Drosophila melanogaster: one gene and its partners. The protein of the gene in region 2 interacts with the protein of the main gene of each other region in a pairwise test. Each region holds a gene or a part of one and is shown on either strand. Other genes may lie near its edges.

The links.
Region 1: the proteins of CG13871 (region 2) and qkr58E-1 interact in a two-hybrid assay, tested with the Drosophila melanogaster proteins (one large-scale study listed by BioGRID).
Region 3: the proteins of CG13871 (region 2) and CG18766 interact in a two-hybrid assay, tested with the Drosophila melanogaster proteins (one large-scale study listed by BioGRID).
Region 4: the proteins of CG13871 (region 2) and Map60 interact in a two-hybrid assay, tested with the Drosophila melanogaster proteins (one large-scale study listed by BioGRID).

Annotation. Positions count from the first base shown.
Region 1 is NT_033778.4:22,412,381-22,417,441, forward strand, and holds qkr58E-1 (quaking related 58E-1), read right to left. Parts: upstream 3,139-5,061; 5' UTR 3,016-3,138; coding exon 2,760-3,015; intron 2,695-2,759; coding exon 2,190-2,694; intron 2,130-2,189; coding exon 2,028-2,129; intron 1,903-2,027; coding exon 1,721-1,902; coding exon of another isoform or gene 1,692-1,720; exon of another isoform or gene 961-1,691; coding exon 815-960; 3' UTR 537-814; downstream 1-536. Other genes in the region: qkr58E-2 (quaking related 58E-2), read left to right, coding at 3,686-3,986, 4,048-4,651, 4,716-4,816, 4,872-5,061.
Region 2 is NT_033778.4:20,315,605-20,319,593, forward strand, and holds CG13871 (uncharacterized protein), read left to right. Parts: upstream 1-1,718; 5' UTR 1,719-1,803; coding exon 1,804-3,366; 3' UTR 3,367-3,435; downstream 3,436-3,989.
Region 3 is NT_033777.3:27,241,805-27,247,066, reverse strand, and holds CG18766 (uncharacterized protein), read left to right. Parts: upstream 1-1,817; 5' UTR 1,818-1,877; exon of another isoform or gene 1,878-2,050; intron 2,051-2,248; exon of another isoform or gene 2,249-2,421; intron 2,422-3,122; 5' UTR 3,123-3,238; coding exon 3,239-3,244; intron 3,245-3,303; coding exon 3,304-3,620; intron 3,621-3,691; coding exon 3,692-3,814; intron 3,815-3,876; coding exon 3,877-4,357; 3' UTR 4,358-4,732; downstream 4,733-5,262. Other genes in the region: CG5984 (uncharacterized protein), read left to right, coding at 1-207; CG17991 (uncharacterized protein), read right to left, coding at 4,851-5,262.
Region 4 is NT_033778.4:9,588,936-9,593,288, forward strand, and holds Map60 (Microtubule-associated protein 60), read left to right. Parts: upstream 1-1,931; 5' UTR 1,932-2,093; coding exon 2,094-2,365; intron 2,366-2,429; coding exon 2,430-3,480; 3' UTR 3,481-3,809; downstream 3,810-4,353. Other genes in the region: clos (closca), read right to left, coding at 3,812-3,991, 4,055-4,353; CG1827 (uncharacterized protein), read left to right, coding at 215-327, 381-1,449.

The DNA of each region.
Region 1 (5,061 bases), 2.1 Mb from region 2:
CCCACAAATGAAACTGGATTTGTCGATTATACTTTTATACTTTATTTAGGGATATTCAGCGGCAAACAAATTCAGTTCTAAACGTCCTTATGGTTTTATGTTAAAAATAATATTTAAGTTATAAAACAATTGTTGATTCGCAAAGAAAAAAAAACAAAAAAGAAATCATAATTATAAACGACAACGTTTAACGTTTCACAATACTCTTTGCTATTCGGAATTTGTAACGAAGCCGGCATTTGGTTAATTTATTTAACTGCTGAATAGTGTGGTTTGTTGTTTGTTAATCATACTCTGTCCGCAGGCGATACTTACTTTGTCGTTGGGCACATACATTTGTAGTTTATATTTTGCTTTTTATGTTGGTTTTATCTCCATTATCTTATGAAACAATATTTTCAAGCTTAGTCTAAAATTATGCTTTGATAAATTAATTGTTTTGGGGGGGTTTTCGCTTGTGTTTAGTTCTCTTCTCGTATTGGCTTTAACTAGTATTAGGTTGATTGAAGTATGTCTTTTGTTTTTACAATCTTTTTGAGGATAAAATTTGTTGCATTATTGGTTTCTTGTTTTAATTTTAAACACAATTTGAATATCGGACAACAGTTGCAATAAAAATTTACGTTTTTTATTTGATTTTCGTTTATATATTATATTTAATAGGTGTGAATAGTTGGATTGTTGACTTCAAACATTTTGATATTTCGTTGGAATATATTTTAATCTTTACGCTTAACATTGTTTAGTTGTGGTTGTTGTTGTTGTTGTAGTTGTTGTTGAGGTTGGTTTCTTGGGGTTTTGGAAAATCGATGGGTTAACGTATTTTCGGATATGGAGCCGAGCGATATCGCACGCTTTCACGAGATCGGGATCCAGTTTCGTAGTGAGCAGATGAATGTGATCCCGAGCCCGAGGTGGTTGGTCGATATGACGATGATGAACGACCGTTGCTTGGTTTTGCTATTTTGAAAAGAATTTTATTTGTTGTTTAGACTTTAAATTGTTTCTTGTTCTGTCTCTGTGGTGCTGTTTTTTGGTTTTTGGTTTTTCTTTTGCTTAGCATATATACATTGTAAAAAAAAGAAAAATATATTGTTTAACCGGTTTTGAATGCACTACACCCTACGAAACGTTATTGTTTTGAGTAAAATGCATTTCGTTTCATCACGTTTCAAAAAAAGTTGTTCCACAAACCTTTCAGCTTGGATTTTATAGTTTAAGCATGTTCAAATATTTTTGGGTTTCTTGCCATGAAGTTTTATGGTTTTGTTTTCAAAGTGTGAATTTCAGTAATTTGATTGTTTGATCGATTGTTTTAATATTTTGGCTCTGGCTTCTTGTGAGTATGTTAGTAGTCGTCCAATTAATGAAGATGATTTACTGGTTGCTGTTCGGTTTAGTTGATTTGGCCTCTGTTCAGGCATAGTGCATTTAAAATCTTGTTAAAATGGGATGGGTTGCCGTTTTAATAATTTTGGTACGCGGCCTTGTTTCTTTTTCTTTTTTGGTTTCTGTTTTTTTCTGCGTTTTCAATTTATCGGCGCTTAGTTGGATAGATTTTGTTTTGTTTTCGAGTTTTTTTTTTGTTTTGATTTGCGCGAGTTAAGTTTAAACGTTTACATTGCTATTTGTCGTATTCTTTTTCTTTTCTTCATTTTGTTTATTTTTACATGCCTGCTGAGGGGAAGAGATTATTGGTCTAGAAATCTAGGTATCTTACCTGGATAGGCCGCCGCGTAGGAAGAGGAGGACGAGTGGGGGTGATACTCACGCCGATAGTCGCGCTCGTAGGAGCTACTGTCATACTGGGCGTGGTGGGTCGAGTGCTTTGATGTTTGGGGCGGCGGTGTGGCATAGCGATCATATTCTCCATGGTGGTCATATAGCTCGTGGTCCCGTGATCTGTTGAAAAAGTAAGGGATTAAAGGAGGGTTTTCTAACAATGGTTGATAACACAGATGCACGCTATTGAAAGCATAAGAATTTAACTTCTAAAGGCATCATTAACGCGATTGAACTTAGCTAACCTGTGCGTCTTTACGATCCCATAGTTGGGATCGTCCATCACATATCGAGCCTTCTCCAGAATCGAATAGACTTTGGGCTTTGAAGAAGCAGGGGGCGGGGTGCTGTGACGAAAGGAATTCCTTAGTAACCAATTAAAATTCAACGAAAATTGACAAGCCTACCGGGAACTGTAGGCGCCATGATCGCCATAGGATTTGGAATAGTGGTGAGACTTCTTGTACATGCGCTCCTTGCCATCCATCTCGCGTAGTTGCTCCAACCGAATGTCGTCGTTGGCGTCGGGTATCATAAACTTGCGGATCTCGCCTAGCGCATAGCTGATCCTGTGATAGGCCTCCGCTGGAGGGGCCACCGTGGATATCTCCACGTGCAAATCGCGGCTGAGATGGGCGTACTTTGGATTTCCGGAGCTGCGAAGCTCCTCCTCCTTACCGTGGTCGCGCATCGAGTTGCGCCCCATAACCACCATTTTGCACATAGTCTCTTCCTGCAGCTGCCGCAGTGTGTTGCCCTTGGGCCCCAGGATCTTGCCAACGAAATTGAACTTGGGGTACTCCTTGATGGGGAACAAGACTTTCTGGGCCACGCGGATGGGCTTTTCGCTGTACACGTTGGCATATATCTCGGGCTTTGGTATGCGTCCGCTGACCAAGATCTTCTCCACCTCTGCGGGGCCATGAAAAATTGCAATTAGATCCACTATAGCTTACATGTCGCAGCGCCTAACTCACCGTCGTCAAGTAAGCGCTTGGTGATGATGTGCTTCTTCTCGAGCGTCTTCTTTTCCAGCAGGCACTCCTGCAGATACGCGTTGGTCTTCTCATTCAGCTGGGGCGTGTCCCGCAGGGCGGCGTGGCTGGTGGTGTGTCCGCCGCCATCCGCCTCAGGGGTCTCTGGAGCACCGGTAGCCGCTGGCTCCTCGTCGCGTCGCTTCCGCTTGTAGTCGGCGGCGTCCTCGTTGTAGTCTCTGTCGTAGTCGCGCGGCATTGCGTTTTGTAGGATTTCTGGCCTGGAGGATTCGTGAATTTTAAAACTCCTACTCTTGAATACAAAATTCTACTATTGCAGAATTAGTTGGCTGAAAAAATATGTATGTGGTAGGACATCGATAGGTAAATCGGCATCACCGATTCGATAGCGTATTATCGGTTACTGCCGATAACAACCCGCCATCATGTGCATTAGTAGTTTATGACTTATCAATTTTATTAAAAACTTTCCCATAACAAAGAGAGCATTTAAATTATATTTGTAATTTAAAAATCACTAAGTGCATATTATAAATTATTGCCATGCACCTGACGACGCATCTATGTTAATATATAGCGTTAGATAGTGTCTGCAAGCCGATAACAACTATGCGCCCTTAACAGCACCGTCGATTGGCAGCGAACAGCACGCTGCAGAAGCACGAGAGACAGCCCGAGAGACCGGAGTTGCCGGACCGAGCCGCTGACATAGTAAATGTCCGAATAAAATACACACTTGGAAAAAGAGAGAAAAATTAGGGCCATTGGGAAGGCTGAAGTGTGCTAAGTTAGCAATCATACCGAATCGACAGCAAAAGCGATCGCCCGCAATCTGCGCACGGAAAATCCGAGACTCGGCGACTTAGCAGGACGATAGAGCGACAGCGATCCCGAAGGCAGGACGACAAATGGCGGAGAACGGACTGCGCGTGCCAGGGTCATCCGCGGTGGCCTCTGCGGTGGCTTCCACTGCGACGGGAGTCGGCGGTGGATCAGCAGCGGGAACTGCGGGGGCCGGGACAGGAGTGGTGCCCACCGGCGTCAGCGGCGGGACGAGCAACGGGGAGCATGAGAACGAACACAACGCCAACGCAGACGGCGAGAAGGCCCAGCCGGCGCCGGCGGTCCAGAAGTACATGCAGGAGCTCATGACGGAGCGATCGCGCATGGAAAACCACTTCCCCCTGGCGGTGAAGCTAATTGACGAAGGTAAATTGATTTGTCAGGGGCACTTCATGGTAATTACTTTGATTTCCCTCTGTTTTTGCAGCTCTGGAGCGTGTGCAGCTAAACGGACGCATTCCCACGAGAGACCAGTACGCCGATGTCTACCAGCAGCGCACCATCAAGCTGTCCCAAAAAGTGCACGTGCCCATCAAGGACAAGAAGTTCAACTATGTGGGCAAGCTACTGGGGCCCAAGGGCAACTCACTGCGTCGCCTGCAGGAGGAGACGCAGTGCAAGATCGTCATACTTGGTCGCTTCTCAATGAAGGATCGCGCACGTGAGGAGGAGCTGCGCAACTCCGCGGACGCGAAGTACGCCCACCTGAATCTTCCTCTGCACGTCGAGGTGTCCACCATTGCTCCGCCCGCCGAGGCGTACGCTCGGGTGGCGTATGCCCTGGCCGAGATTCGGCGGTACCTCACGCCGGACAAGCACGATGACATCCGCCAAGAGCAGTACCGCGAACTCATGGAGGATCCGGAGGCGGCCAAGAAGCTGACGCTTCGCCAGCTGCAACAGCAGTCGAATGCGGCAGCTAGTGGTGCAGGAGGAGGAGGCGGTGGTGGAGGCGGAAACGGAAATGGCGGCGCAGCTGGATCCGGCAGCAATAATGGCAATGGGAACCAGCGCTCCGGCGGCAACTACAGGTGGGTTGCAGTTCAATGTCCTCTACGAGCCTCGAGTCTAGCTAAACTCCCATGTTTCTTACAGACAAAAGTTTCAGCAACAATCACACTATCGCCACAACGAGGAGACTGTCTATTTTCGCTCACACAACAATGCGTACCACCAGCCAAAACCCTATGTGCCAGGTAAGTCTGGGCTCTCCTGGTCCATAGACCATAGATTCTATGTTCGCTTTTGCAGCCGCCCAACGGGGCAATGCCATGCACACCACCTTGCCACCGCAAGCAATTGTGCGAGCCTCACCGCCCGGAATGGTCGTCAGTGCGGCCAGCTTCAATGGCCGAAATGCCGGACTGGGTAATGCCGGCGGTGGCGGAATCATGGCCAATAGCATCGTGGCCACCACTGGCGGTGGCATCGGTGGCGCTGT
Region 2 (3,989 bases):
CGCTGGCCCACTATGACGTCACCGTTGGCAGACATCGCTCATCCGCCACGTCGGCCCAGTCGGCCCAGTCGTCCCAGCCGGCCGGCCTTTGGAATGGGCGTAATATATGGGATCCGCTCGAGATTCGGTGTTCCTCACTCCCACTATCAACCAGCAACATCCATGACCCGATATGCCTTCCAGAAACTTCCCTGCGCCACGTGTCGCGTGTCTGGCGTGCGTGTTTGTAAACAACTGCACTGCCATGTCCTTTTTACTATCAAAACAACAGGACACCAGGGCGCAGGCGCTGGAAGGCTATGCACATTCCACACGGAACAGAGGCTGGAAGTCCTGGAAGGAGGAACGAGAACACAGAGCCCAACACTCCAGGGCGTTCAAATGTGTATACTCGATGTCCTGACTTAAATATTACTTATGATAACAAGTTAAGATAAATAAATATAAAGTTAATATATAGCTTTGTCTAAAGAAACTACCTTGACAAAATGACTGCAATAAATGTTTATATTAAATTCATAAACATTAATTCTAGAAAAGAGCACTAGGCTTTGTGTACTTTTTTTTTCCAAATATTTGTGTTTTCTTCTTCTTTTTTTACAAAAGAAATCATTCATTTATTGAAATATTACTAGTTGTTAACTGGGCCTTATATTCCGGGACGCCACTGTCGCGTTGGGGATGCCCTGCTCTTGCGCACTTTTATTGACAATTTCTTTGTTGTCTGCTCCCCGTTGGTGTTGCTTTTTGGCTCAAATTGCCTGGTTACCGCAGTCATTTGGCCAAGTGGCAAAATCAATAGAGGGAGTTGGAGATGCCAGGAAACAGAAGCCAGGAGCCCATTACCTTATTATAATTGGGAGTATTATCAATCGCAGGACGGCACACACATGAAATGAAACGCCGCCTGCCGCAGGAAATGCGTGGAAGCCAGGAGCCTCTTACTGCTTTTTACTCCAGTTGTAGGAACCGTTGTAGAAAAATAAAATCAATATTATCATTTTGGCGTGCATATTGAGGACAGTCATTGCACTTGGTTTCGCAACACTTGGTTTCCGCTTGTATTTAAGGCATTAACTAAGGATTTCGGACCCCGTTTAGCGTTTAGTTTTTGTGCCTTTTGCGTTTGAGTGTCATTTAACGATGAGTTCGCAAACTCTTGAAAACACGCCTATGACACAAAACTTTCAGGGAGATATGGGAAATCTCTGTTTTTCGCTTAACTTCACAATTTATTATAATTTAGTTTGTATTTAATATGTCCATTTATTTCGAGGATGTGCTGCACAGTTGGACGTGAAAAACTCGACTGTGGCTTACGAACTGAATGAGCACAGCATTTCCACTTTCCAGTCCGATTTCCAGTAACCTTCCAACCACTGATTCCCGTTATGCTTTGTTGCTTGAACAAGCCTTCTCCGTGTCCTTAGAAGTTCGACCTGACGTCGTCCTTTGTTGAGCAAGAAAAATATGACTGCCTTCTTTCAACAAAATATTAAAAAGATTATTTACTACCATTTAAACTCTACTTGACCACTTGAGTTCTTTGGGCAAATAATCTACCAATTCACTTTTAATGTATACTTTTTTTTTTAGAATTCTTCGCTTTAATTATAGAAGATTTTTAAAAAATTATTTAAACATAAAAACAACCAATGAGCATAACATGTCATGGAACTGATTTCGAATATAAGGAATTTTACAAACATGACTCGGCGATAATTCCAGCAAGATGTTGTGCTTATGAGAACAATGTCAACGCGGATTTTGAGCCACAGCGCAGTCCGACTTTCATTACTGGCAATGGCAATCCTGGCGAGCGTTGGACAAGCGACCGACCGATCCGAAGGAAGATCAGTACGCAGGTACTCATATGCGGATACCTCGTGGCCCAGGCGGCCGTTCGGCAGCGAGCGAAGGGACTTGGCGCCTTCGGAGCAGCGATACTTCTCCGATCCGGAACTGCTCTTCCAGCGGCTGGACGACATGGAGCAGAAATTGGGAATTCCAGAAAAAATGGCTGCTGCTGGCAAGGTGAAATCGGAACACTATCTGGTTGGTCCCACGAATGTTGCCGCCCAGATGCTCAAAGATAACTTGTACAAATTTCCGATTGATGACGGCGCCATTGGACAGGGAATGCACGATGATTGTCTGGGTAAGGAGGATGTGGATGATCCCTTCGAGTCCCTGGCCAGGATGAACTTCAATGAGCATTTGAATGAGCGTAAGTCCGATCGTGAGCTCAAGAGGGTGCTGGGTGGCTACTTAAACGACCAGCAGCTGGATGGAAAACCAGCTGTGGCAACAGCCAATTTGCTGGCCAAGGTCATTAGCTCCAAGGTCGATCAGCCCAGGAAGTCTGGGCCTTGTCGTGGCACCACGGCTCGATCCCACGGGTTCACCACAAGAAGCCCTACGACTCATCGGACGACCCTTAGTACCACAACGCGCAGTCCCACCACTTTCTGCCTTCCGGAACCCTCATCCGATCCTCCGCTCAAGCCGCTTCCCACATCTCCACCAACACCTCGTCCTCCGCCTTCCGCACCTTCGCGTCCACCAACGACGCGAAAGCCATCTGCTCAAAGGATTAAGCCCAGTAATAAGTGCCCCATATCGACGAAATCTCAAAAGCTAGGAGGTGCCAAGGTGCTGCTGGAAATCATTTTGGCCACCAAGCAGCATGCCCTATCGGTGCTCAAGAATCTCAACTACCTGGAATTGGAACTGCTAAGTCACTCAACGGACGACGATGTATCGGAGAACCACGTTAAAGAGAAAGAACCAACAACAAAGACGTCTGAACGTATCGAAAAACCCGAGCCAAGGCCACCATCCAGGGTATTTTCCTTTGGAATTCGACCAGCGAGCCAAAAAGAGAGCTTGTACGACTTGGCAGTGGCCAAGGAGGAGGAGTTGAAACTGCAGGATCGGGTGTGGGAGGAGCACCAGCAGCAGATGAAGCTAAGGAGGCCAATGAAGCCAAAGAGGTTTGAGGTTGCTCCGGCGGCTGCTGCACGCCTGGAACCTTTTCAGGAGCCTCGAAAGCCACTGAAGTCCATAAATTCCATGGAGCCTTTTACTCCTTTGGAACCAGAAACCTCCGACGACAACAGACGTATCAATCTGGAAGCCTTGAGCGTGGTAGTCAAGCCAATGTCCTCCTTTCCCAGAAAGGATTCTCTTAGCTCGTCGCCGCGAGCACAAATGAATGCTGTTCAATTGGAGGGCACAAGCGATGATGAACTGCATCCAGGCAATACATTTGAATTGAGACCAAGAAAGAAGAAAAAACACAAGTTGTACGCTATGGAAAAGCAGACACAGACTAAAAAGCTACCCATTGCAGGAGTTTTTTATTAAGTCATTTGTATAAATATTAACAGAGTTTTATTGAAACATTTATTCAACACTTAAATATATTTTAAAAATAAGAAGTTTGAATTTTGGCGCCAATACGTTAACCCTAAGACAGTGCTTGCTTATAGCTTTTCGTATTTATATGCCACTTGACGTATTTTTTGACATCCAGCCCACGGTCTCACTAGAAGGCGCCGAAAATTTTAGAAACGTCAAGCGAGAATGAACTCCCGTATTGTTGTGTTAAAAGGAACTTCGTTCGGGATCATCGGAATATTCATTTCTCAGGAAAACCCCAATAGTCTCATTTATGCAGTTTGCAGTGCATATCTTGCTGAGACTCGATTTTTATTAATTGTTTAATAGTTTGGTAAGGACAGAAAACTCACAATATCGCATTACGACACATTCTTTGTATTTGCACAAACGAAATCAAATTCTAAAATATAGATCAAAATAATTTAATTCTGCGTCTGCGCCGCCGCTTTCGTCCATCTCTTTCTCGTCTCTATTCTCTTTATTTTTTGCCCCTTGTCCGTCTTATTTTTCTAGCCCTGTGTTTGCCAATTTTATTGTGCACACTGAAAGAATAACGCGGAACAGGCGCAACTCAATGTTTGCAGAAT
Region 3 (5,262 bases), on a different chromosome or scaffold from region 2:
GTGGACTGCGGCCAGGCGGGTAGCAACATGCTCCTGGTGGGCGTACTGGGGCAACGCGGTCCCTGCGAGGAGGTGGTGGTCAGGCACCTGGGACGCGGCATACACAGGGTCACCTACCGCGTGTGCGATCCCGGTGACTACATCCTGGTGGTCAAGTGGGGGGAGCAGCATGTACCCGGATCCCCGTTCAGCTTAAGTGCGGATTAGCCGTAGAAAGTAAATGTGCCTGCATAAATCAGCTGACCTTGATGGGGCGCTACTGCCACCCATCTGCCTCACTTCTCAATGGAATCCTGCGCAGCTTCTCCGGGCGATTTCGCCCCACCTAATGATGATTGCCGATGATAGCGTTATGGGTGCTCCTTGCTGCTCTTTTCCCGCCACTAATGACGTTCGCATTTGGGAGCTGATGCTCTCGGCGCCTCACAACCTAATGATGATGACCGGCGAATATGGAGAATGTGGGTAAGCTGAGTATGAGGGGGCAAATATGTAGTAGTAATGCGTACACTTGAGGTTAGTGCAATAGTCACAAGTTTGGAAAATAGTGAAATATACTTAAGTAAAAGTAATAATACATTTTAAACACTAGCATGCATTTACCATTAAAAATATATTTTAGCTAATGATTCATTAAAATAAATTCACTAAAATAACAGTTATATAAGAGAGGTGCCATCTTAAAATTATATTAAAAATGTTGCACAATAAATTAAGATAAGTATTGTACTATACATATAATAGTTTAATATGATTTGATTTTAAGGGTAACTATTAAGCTGACCATTATTGTTTATAGAAATGATAAAAGGTGGGGGCTGCACGATGATGTTGTAGCTATTAAAATGTCAAGTTCTTGAAGATGATGACATATTCATTTTGTATTCCTAAACAATCTGTACTTAGTAACAAAAGAAAAAGATACATATTTGCAATATAGAAATTTGTAAACACTGAAGAACATAATTGTTTATAATAATATATTTAGGGAGAATGAAAATAGATTGATATTCAACTAAAACCTATTTGAAAGTAAAAATATGTGTCAATAACTAGAAATTTACGTAATATATTTTTCAAAATACAAATAAACAACATTAGTTTGTATGTCTATTATTAATTATCTCAAAGTTTACTATTTATATAGTTGGCTAGGTTCGTAGATTTTTGAATATTTGGTGACCTTGTTATTGGGATTTCGCTTCCCCCAATTTCTTCTTCCTCTGCCTTGCCCCACCCCCATCGCCTATCGCCCCGCCCCGCCAGCACTTTTTCATCGAGACGATGTGCAATTTAATGATGATTACCCCACAAGCAAAGCCAACTGACGACGACTTTGTGGCAGCAGCGACATTATCATTTTTTGTTATTTAGCCCGCTAATGACGTTTGCTTTTGTTGTTGTTGTTGTTGCTCCATCGCACAACCTAATGATGATGATGATGACCGGCACATACGTGTCGGTGTGACTGTGCCAGTGTGTGTGTGCATTATGCTCCAAGAAAAGCGATTTGTTGAAGGGAGGCGGGAGTAGGTGGTGGTGATGATGATGATGAGCGATGAAATGCGCTTGCTTTGTTGCGCCCTAACGAGCCGAGATTGAAGTAAAAGTACTGTATTGAGCACGATAAATGGCAGATGACTTGGTTCTATTGGCCTAAAGCCGCAATAAACATTTTCAATTTCCCACCTTTTGGCGCTGTTCGAAACCCCAACGCACTGCACTGGCGACTGTCTGGCAACGCCATGTCACACTAGCCGCACCGCTCACACCATGTTGCTCTTGCCATGCCATGCTGTCTCGCTCACGCCGAGAACATCATTATAGAGTCGAATTGCGAGAGCTGCGCAGCGTAGGAGCTACAAACTACGTTTTTCGTGTGTTTCCCTCTTGAAGATAATTAAAATTTAATTATTTGACTTATTATTAAGTTTTGTGCCCACGCTGTTGGCGTCGTAGTGTTGTTGTTTCGCCCGTTGTTGCATGGAGCAAAGCGAAAAACGTAACAATAGAACGCAATCAACGCAAGAAAATCGGATGTGGATGCGATGTGAGTGTGTGTATCTCTGAAATGGGAAAAGTGTGTGCGTGTGTGTATTCGAGAAAAGTAACCTCTCACCCCCCGCGAACTTACATATATGTACATTGGCTCCAATGCTGCTATCCCGCAGCCGCCGTCGCCGTCGACGTCGGCGGAGCATCTTCATCCGCATCTGAGCCCAACTCCCTTCTACACTTGAGTTACCGCTTCACTTCGATTCCAAACGTCGCCGCATCCACTTCTCATCTTCTGCTGCTGCCGCAGCTGCTGCATGCATATCGCAACTTGTTTCGCTCGCACAATTAATATTTGTTTACCGTTTACCGTTCGATTTGCATTGCATGCGTGTGTGTTTGTGCGGGAGCGGCTGAGCTGCGTCGGTGTGTGTGAGCCGGCTTAATGATAATTGAAAGCTAGAAAATAGACAAAGTACACCGACTAGTAAATACCCTTTAGTGCCAGAAAATGGGTTGTTAGCCAATGGGATTACGGTACAAACAACACGGAAGCGACAATAACCCATTTTAAAATCATTGGATGCCAAATTTAAAACAGTTCCTATAACATTTTGTTTCCTGTGATAAGAATTGTTAAAAATACTTGCGTTTTAAAAGTTTAAGCTGAAATTAATTAGTGAATATAAATAGAACTTCAAATTGTGCATAATTATATCGTATAGTAATTAATACCCATGACAACTAGGGAATGAGTCCTTCTAGGAGCTTAAAAATACATAAATATTTCTATGAATCCAAACTCTGCTGCAATATAATAGAATTTTATGTGTATTACAACATTATACCCTTTAATTGCCGCGAGAACTAAGTTAACTATGAAATGCAATCATTCGTAACCCTTTTTGTGGGAAGGTATTAGGCTACAAAAGATTAATTACCATTTCAATTCAATTAAATAGTCATCAAATAGGTGGCTGACCATATGTTCGGTTGTTTATTTACGTGTGGTGTGCACTTTTTAAGAAATCCCTGAAACTCATAGGGATTGCAATATTAATACGTCTAACAATACAAATAGTAAACAACGACACCTGCACGTTAACTAATCATTTGATTTATTTCAGGAGCGAATCCGTGTACAGTATGCCAGCCCACTAGATAAACCGCTTCATGTCCTCCATCAGCTGGCAGACGAAGATTGTCGGGCAATCCCATTTGTCGGCAGTAAGACCCATGTGAAATGCCTGTAAGTTGTCTTTGGAATCAGTAGCTTTATCATCAATATAATCGTATACCTATTCGCAGTATGAAAAATTCAACAAAAAGCGCCGACAATGGGAGGATAGTGGTGTTCTAGAGCTGATCAAACTATGGAAAGTCTGCGCCTATGAGCTGCGCACCATTAAACGCAATGGCCATCTGTATGTGGCAATGGCCAAGCAGCTAACCTCGCTGGGCGTCCCTGTTACCGCACTCGAGGTTCACTTTAAAGTCAACAATCTAACGCAGCGCTACCGGCAGGAGCAGAAGACCTTTGAGACCACAGGCATCATCAGCACCTGGAAGTTCTACAGTCAAGTGGATGATGTGTTTAAGAGTCTGGCCGCACACACCGGTTACAAGTTGGTTGAGATATGATAGATACTTCCCATATAGCAATCCCAAACTAACAAAATATCTTATTATTTTCCAGAGACAAACGCATGACAAGTGCGTCCAATACGAGCAGCTTACCATCCACATCCGAGTCACCAGTTTGGAAGAATCCAATGTCTCAGCAAGAGTTTAATAGTAACAACACGGAGGGGTTCTATAAGTAAGCACTAGCATTGGAACACCTTCCTCACAACATGTTTAAATAACAATTGGGATTTGCAGGACCGAGTACGGGATGCATCGGCACTTTATGGACCACTCCCAGCCACCACCCAATGCCGGCAGCGTGGACAACTTCATGGCCTCATCGGCGGCCGTGGCGGCGGTGGCTGCCGCTGCCTCAGCCCGCCTGGCGGATAACAACATGGATCAGCAAATGAACACGGCTGCCGGTGGAAGCGGTGGCAGTGGTGGTGGTGGGGGCAACACCAATGGAGGCGTGGCCAACTACCAGAAGATCAAGAAGTCGCACGAGGACTACGACAAGTTCGTGGACATTGTGAAGAACATCGTGGACACGCACAAGAGCACTCCCGATAAGGTGGACACGTTCGGCGACTTCATCAAATCGTACATGAAGCGCTGGCCGGAGCGGCTGCAGGACGAGGCCATCAACCACATCACCAACTATGTGATCGTGAAGAACATGGAGCACAGCATGGTCAGCAGCCACAATCCCGAGGGGGTGAACAACCGACAATAACAATACAAGCAGGAGCCCAACAACTGAACGAGTTGTTGGACGACGCAGCTCCAGGAACCAGGCACAGAAGCCGAACGAAGTGAGACGTTAGGCGAGGATTACTTAAGGTGGCGCGCAGTTACTTAACCGCATCTGAGTTGCGGCCAAGTTCATTGGACACACACACGGCATACAGTATTTTTTGTATAGTTAAAATATACATTGGAGTTTTAGTTCTCGACGATCGCGCCCTCGATACAGAGTTGACTTCCGTAAAGAGGGGGCTGGATCGATCAATCGTGCATAGAGATCCTAGGGAGTACATTACATTTAGACACCATTTCCTACTGTTAGCTGTAAACTATTATGCATAAATTAATAAATGCTTTAACGATTATTTATGATTGGTAGTAAGAATGCACTATTGACACGTAGTCTTAGGAAAATTGTACACTTTACAATTTAAATAGATATTCAAATTACTTCTTGCTTCTCTTGCAGATCTTGAGTTTACCTAGTGTCCGTCTGCCTCCGCTAGGTTTTCCTTCGTGTAATCCAAAACACGACGCTTCATACGACAGATGTATTGGCTATGCATGAGGTACATTTTGAGGAATCCCTTGATCGCTATGAAAGTCAATCCCCCAAGAAGAGTTTGTTGCAATCTATCGTCGACAGAGCTGTAAAGAACTCTACCCACGTACATGGATATGGTGGGCAAGAGGATGGCTCCACAGACCACCCGCGATGCTGAATATTCGGTCATTGGCGCAGAAGGGTATGGTTCGGTCTGGTGGTCATATTTCCGTCCTAGGCACATCATTGAAAGACTTCGCAGCAATGAATAACATATTCTAATGAAGCGCAACAGGGCATCTTCCCAGGGAATTAAGCGTCCAAGTATCAGAACTACCGAGATTAATGGG
Region 4 (4,353 bases), about 11 Mb from region 2:
CTATGTTGAAACATTTTCAAGTTTTAAAATATTGCTTAAACCAATTTGAAAATGTGTACGACTCTTTTAGAGGGTATATCAAAACAACAGATAAGAAAGCAAAACAGTGAGGTTAGACTGCTAGCATTTAAAAGCAGAACTCGACCATTTTCCGGCAGAACAGGGACAGATTGTGATACACCAAGACTTCTCGTAGAGACCATTACGATTAACCATGAGAAGGCACTTGCGGGCAAGTCTTTGGATCCTTTGTTTGGCCACCATGGCGTTTTCCATCCTTGCGGCAGTAAATACTTCGCCCAAACCAACGCTGACTTCGGCGTTTAGGTGAGCAGCGCATACAGCGTATTCTTTGTTCGCTAAGATCCGCCCCTTTGCAGTGGAAAAGCTGGCACCACTGCCGTGAAGGCGAATAAGACGACGGGTGAGCTGCTGCCCATGGTCATTAACACTTGGAACTTCACGGCTGCCAATGTGCTCGCCTGGCGAATCCTGAAGCAAAGCAAGGGTGGACTCCGGCAGACGCGGAATGCGGTAGTGGAGGGCTGCTCGAAGTGTGAGAAACTCCAGTGTGACCGAACGGTGGGCTATGGCGGATCGCCGGACGAGTTGGGCGAAACCACACTGGATGCCATGGTCATGGACGGGGCCACCATGGATGTGGGGGCAGTGGCTGGTCTGCGACGCATTAAGGATGCCATTAAGGTAGCCCGGCATGTTCTGGAACACACGCAGCACACCATGCTGGTGGGTGATGCGGCGTCAGCTTTCGCCAATGCTATGGGATTCGAATCAGAGTCGCTGGTCACGCCGGAGTCGAAGGACATGTGGTTACAGTGGACGGCTGAGAACTGCCAGCCAAACTTCTGGAAGAACGTTCACCCGGATCCCAAGGTCTCTTGCGGCCCGTATAAGCCGCGGCCGACTCCGCTGACCCGCTGGAAGGAGGACCGTGCCCGCAATGAGTATGAGATCGGACGCAAGAACCACGATACCATCGGCATGATCGCCATCGACGTGGAAAGCAACATCCACGCCGGCACCTCCACCAACGGGGCGCGGCACAAGATTCCCGGACGGGTCGGCGACTCCCCCATTCCGGGTGCTGGCGCTTATGCAGACAACGAGGTGGGTGCAGCCGTGGCAACCGGAGATGGAGATGTGATGATGCGCTTCCTGCCCTCCCTGCTAGCGGTGGAGACCATGCGGGCGGGAAAACCTCCGGCTGAGGCAGCTCAAGAGGGCCTTCGCCGCATTCTCAAGCACCACAAGGATTTCATGGGTGCTCTCATCGCCGTAGATCGGCTGGGTAATTATGGCGCTGCCTGCTACGGCCTGGCCGAATTCCCCTTTATGGTTAGCAGTCCAGCCGGAGCGGATGGGCCTACGCGCTTGGAAACGGTCAAATGCATAGGTGGTCAGGACAAAGTAAATATCGTGGCGTTGTGAGGTGGCGAAAACTGTAACGTATTTCAATAAAATTTAAATTTCGTGGAGTTCTCATCTGCAATATAAATTGCGTTATTTGTTTGTCCCTATCGGCAGCAAGATAGACGGGTAGTTTTACCGTAAATTAGCGGTATTAAGAATTATCGATATGTAAGGATCCTTACATAAAATAAATAAATAAAGTATGAGAATAGAATAGAAAAAGACAAAACAAAAACCATTCCTTCGATAGTTATGACTACCAAAATGAATAACTTTTCCTTATGGAGAAACATTATAATTGTTATATAAGTAAAAATAATGCAAGTATTAATATTTATAGTGATAAATATAATATATAAAAATTTAATTTTCACTGCATCGAGAGCTGTGAACTGTGAACATCTATGTTGCCAAAATCTCCCTCATCCCTAAGTTACTGTACCAAAAGGCGGCATTTCTAGTATTTGCGTGTTGCACGGTCACATTTTCCGCCAATTTACCGACGCCAAATACAGAAGAAAAGAGAAGCGAACGGTGCGAAAGCGGAGAGAAAAACAAGCGGATCCTAGTTACATATACCAATTCGTGTGTCGCGTGTTATCAAAACAGCCTCCAAAATTATCAGGAACGCGCAACCAGCGGGCCGCAAGTCGCTGACTAAGATGGCAATCCAACTGGACAAGATTCTGCAGGACATCGCCAAAGAAAAGGTGCTGCATCCAAACAATGGCGGCGCCAGCAAGCAGGAGCAGGAGGAGGCGTGGGCCAGGATCGGGCGTCTCAACAAGCTCTCTGTGCACGAATCGCGCTCCATCTTCATAGTGCTCCAAAAGAAGTACGAGCAGGAAAAGCTAAAGGGCAATTCGGCGTGGAAGCTCTTCAGTCTGATGCATCAGATCCATCAGGAGCCTAAAATCTCAATCAAGGAGGAGAAGTAAGTGGCGTAAATAGTCCTCTAACCGTGAAACACTAACAAAATTTCTACTGCTATTCTGCAGTGATCAAGTACCCATGGAGGAGGTGGAGGAGTACGAAATGCTGGAGGTGCAGGAGCCTGAGGACGAGGATGACGCCCATCAGTACGGACAGCACACCAACTCTACCGGCTCGGCGTCCTCCGACGGCGAAAGCCCCACAAAGTCACACAGCACCGGTTCGCCAGAAAAGGACGAGCGGTTGGCGTACGCCAAACCCAACGTCGACACTCCTCGCCCAGCCATCGAGGAGAAAAAGCTGCTCAACACACTGGCTAACAACACACCGCGAAGTAGCTCGCTGTCCGCCGCCGCAGCAGTACTGCAAAAGAAGGGAATTACTGTGAAGAAGACGCCCAGCTCCGCAGCAGCACCGAAACCGGCTATTGGGCAACAGGCGCCAGCCAGTGGGCAAAGATCAAGCTCCTCGCGCACCACCATTCAGCTGCCAGATTCTTTGAAGCGCAAACTTTCGGAGGAGTACACCTCGTCATCGGCGCAAAAAAAGCAGACCAAGACCACGAGCCCGAAACAAGCCGCTTCATCGGCAGCCGCAACTTCAGTGCACACCAGCGTTCCAGATCAACTGCCGGCGGGAAACAATGTGGTGCACACAACCACTGCCCAGCTGATGCAGGTTAAGAAGGAGCGTGAGGACAACCAGACACCACCGCCGGGTATCAACATCATCACCATTCCATCGGCACAACAGATAAACGGTGGTGGTGGGGGAGCGAACTCATCGACAGCCGCCACCATTGCTTCCACCTCGGTGGCTTCCACAAACGGCTTTTCGCCACACATCGACGAGCTGGACTTTAAGAATGACATTATCTTCGGGCCGAAGATCAACGCCGCCTCCTCCAATACACCCGAGATTATCAACCTGGGCAACTTTGACAACTCGCTGCCGCCAACCTTTTTCAAGAATCTATGCAACTCGTCGCGACACGAGTCTCTCGGGCTGTACGTGGCCAATGTGATGAACAGACTCTCTTCGCGTGCCTCCGCCAAGCTGGAGCTGTCCATCTTGCGCGCCATCCTCGATGTGCAGAGCGACGAACTGGAGCAGTAGACCGACTGATACTCGCAATTTAAATGATTACTCAGCTTACTTATTAGACAAACTAAAAAGGTAGTTATGTAGTAGGCCTGTCTGAACCATTTCTCGTATTTATCGTATTATTTTTTCCGTGTTCAAACGTCTGCGTTCTGTGCCGCCCACTTGTAAAATGTATTTACTCACAGTTCTGGTATGAGTGTTCATAGCATTTACGCATGAATTTTAAAGCTAAATTTAAAATGTATTTCTAATATTTGAGATTTCGAATTTGTCCCTATTTAAGGTTGAATATGCTACTTGATTTTAAAATACGTTTATATGCAAATAAATCTACATAACTTACTTGAACTTCGCCCAAAAAGATGTATATCCGGTTGCCATGTGTAAGTAGTCCCTACTTCGCTGGGCATCTGCTCCCAGATGGCCAGTACGTCCTCGTTGTCCACGGAGATGATCTTCATGTGCGAGGCCTTATGAGGTAATTTCTGCAGCACAGCAAAGCCTTCCAGCACTTTAGGCGGCTCTGTTGGTTGAATTTAATGCACATGACTAAAGGAGAATTTGTATTAATGTGTTTTTAACATACTGGCCAATCTGTTTTTAATAGCTGCCACATTTTCCTGCAGCTGCTGCCAATCATGAATGTCATTCGATTCGACACCCCGCTTTTTCTTGTAATATTTATCCAGCAGCCCATTTCCGTTGCCCGCTTCGTAGTGACCCACAGTGAGGGGCTGGGTGAAGATCAGTTGGCTTTCCACGTGAAGATTGGGACGGTTTTCTGCCTTGCTGACCAGTAACTCGTTAACGGGCAGATCGTTGACGAAATCCACCCAGAGATTCTTCACATTATTGCTCATAACTCGCTTCTGTTCGGGAAGACTA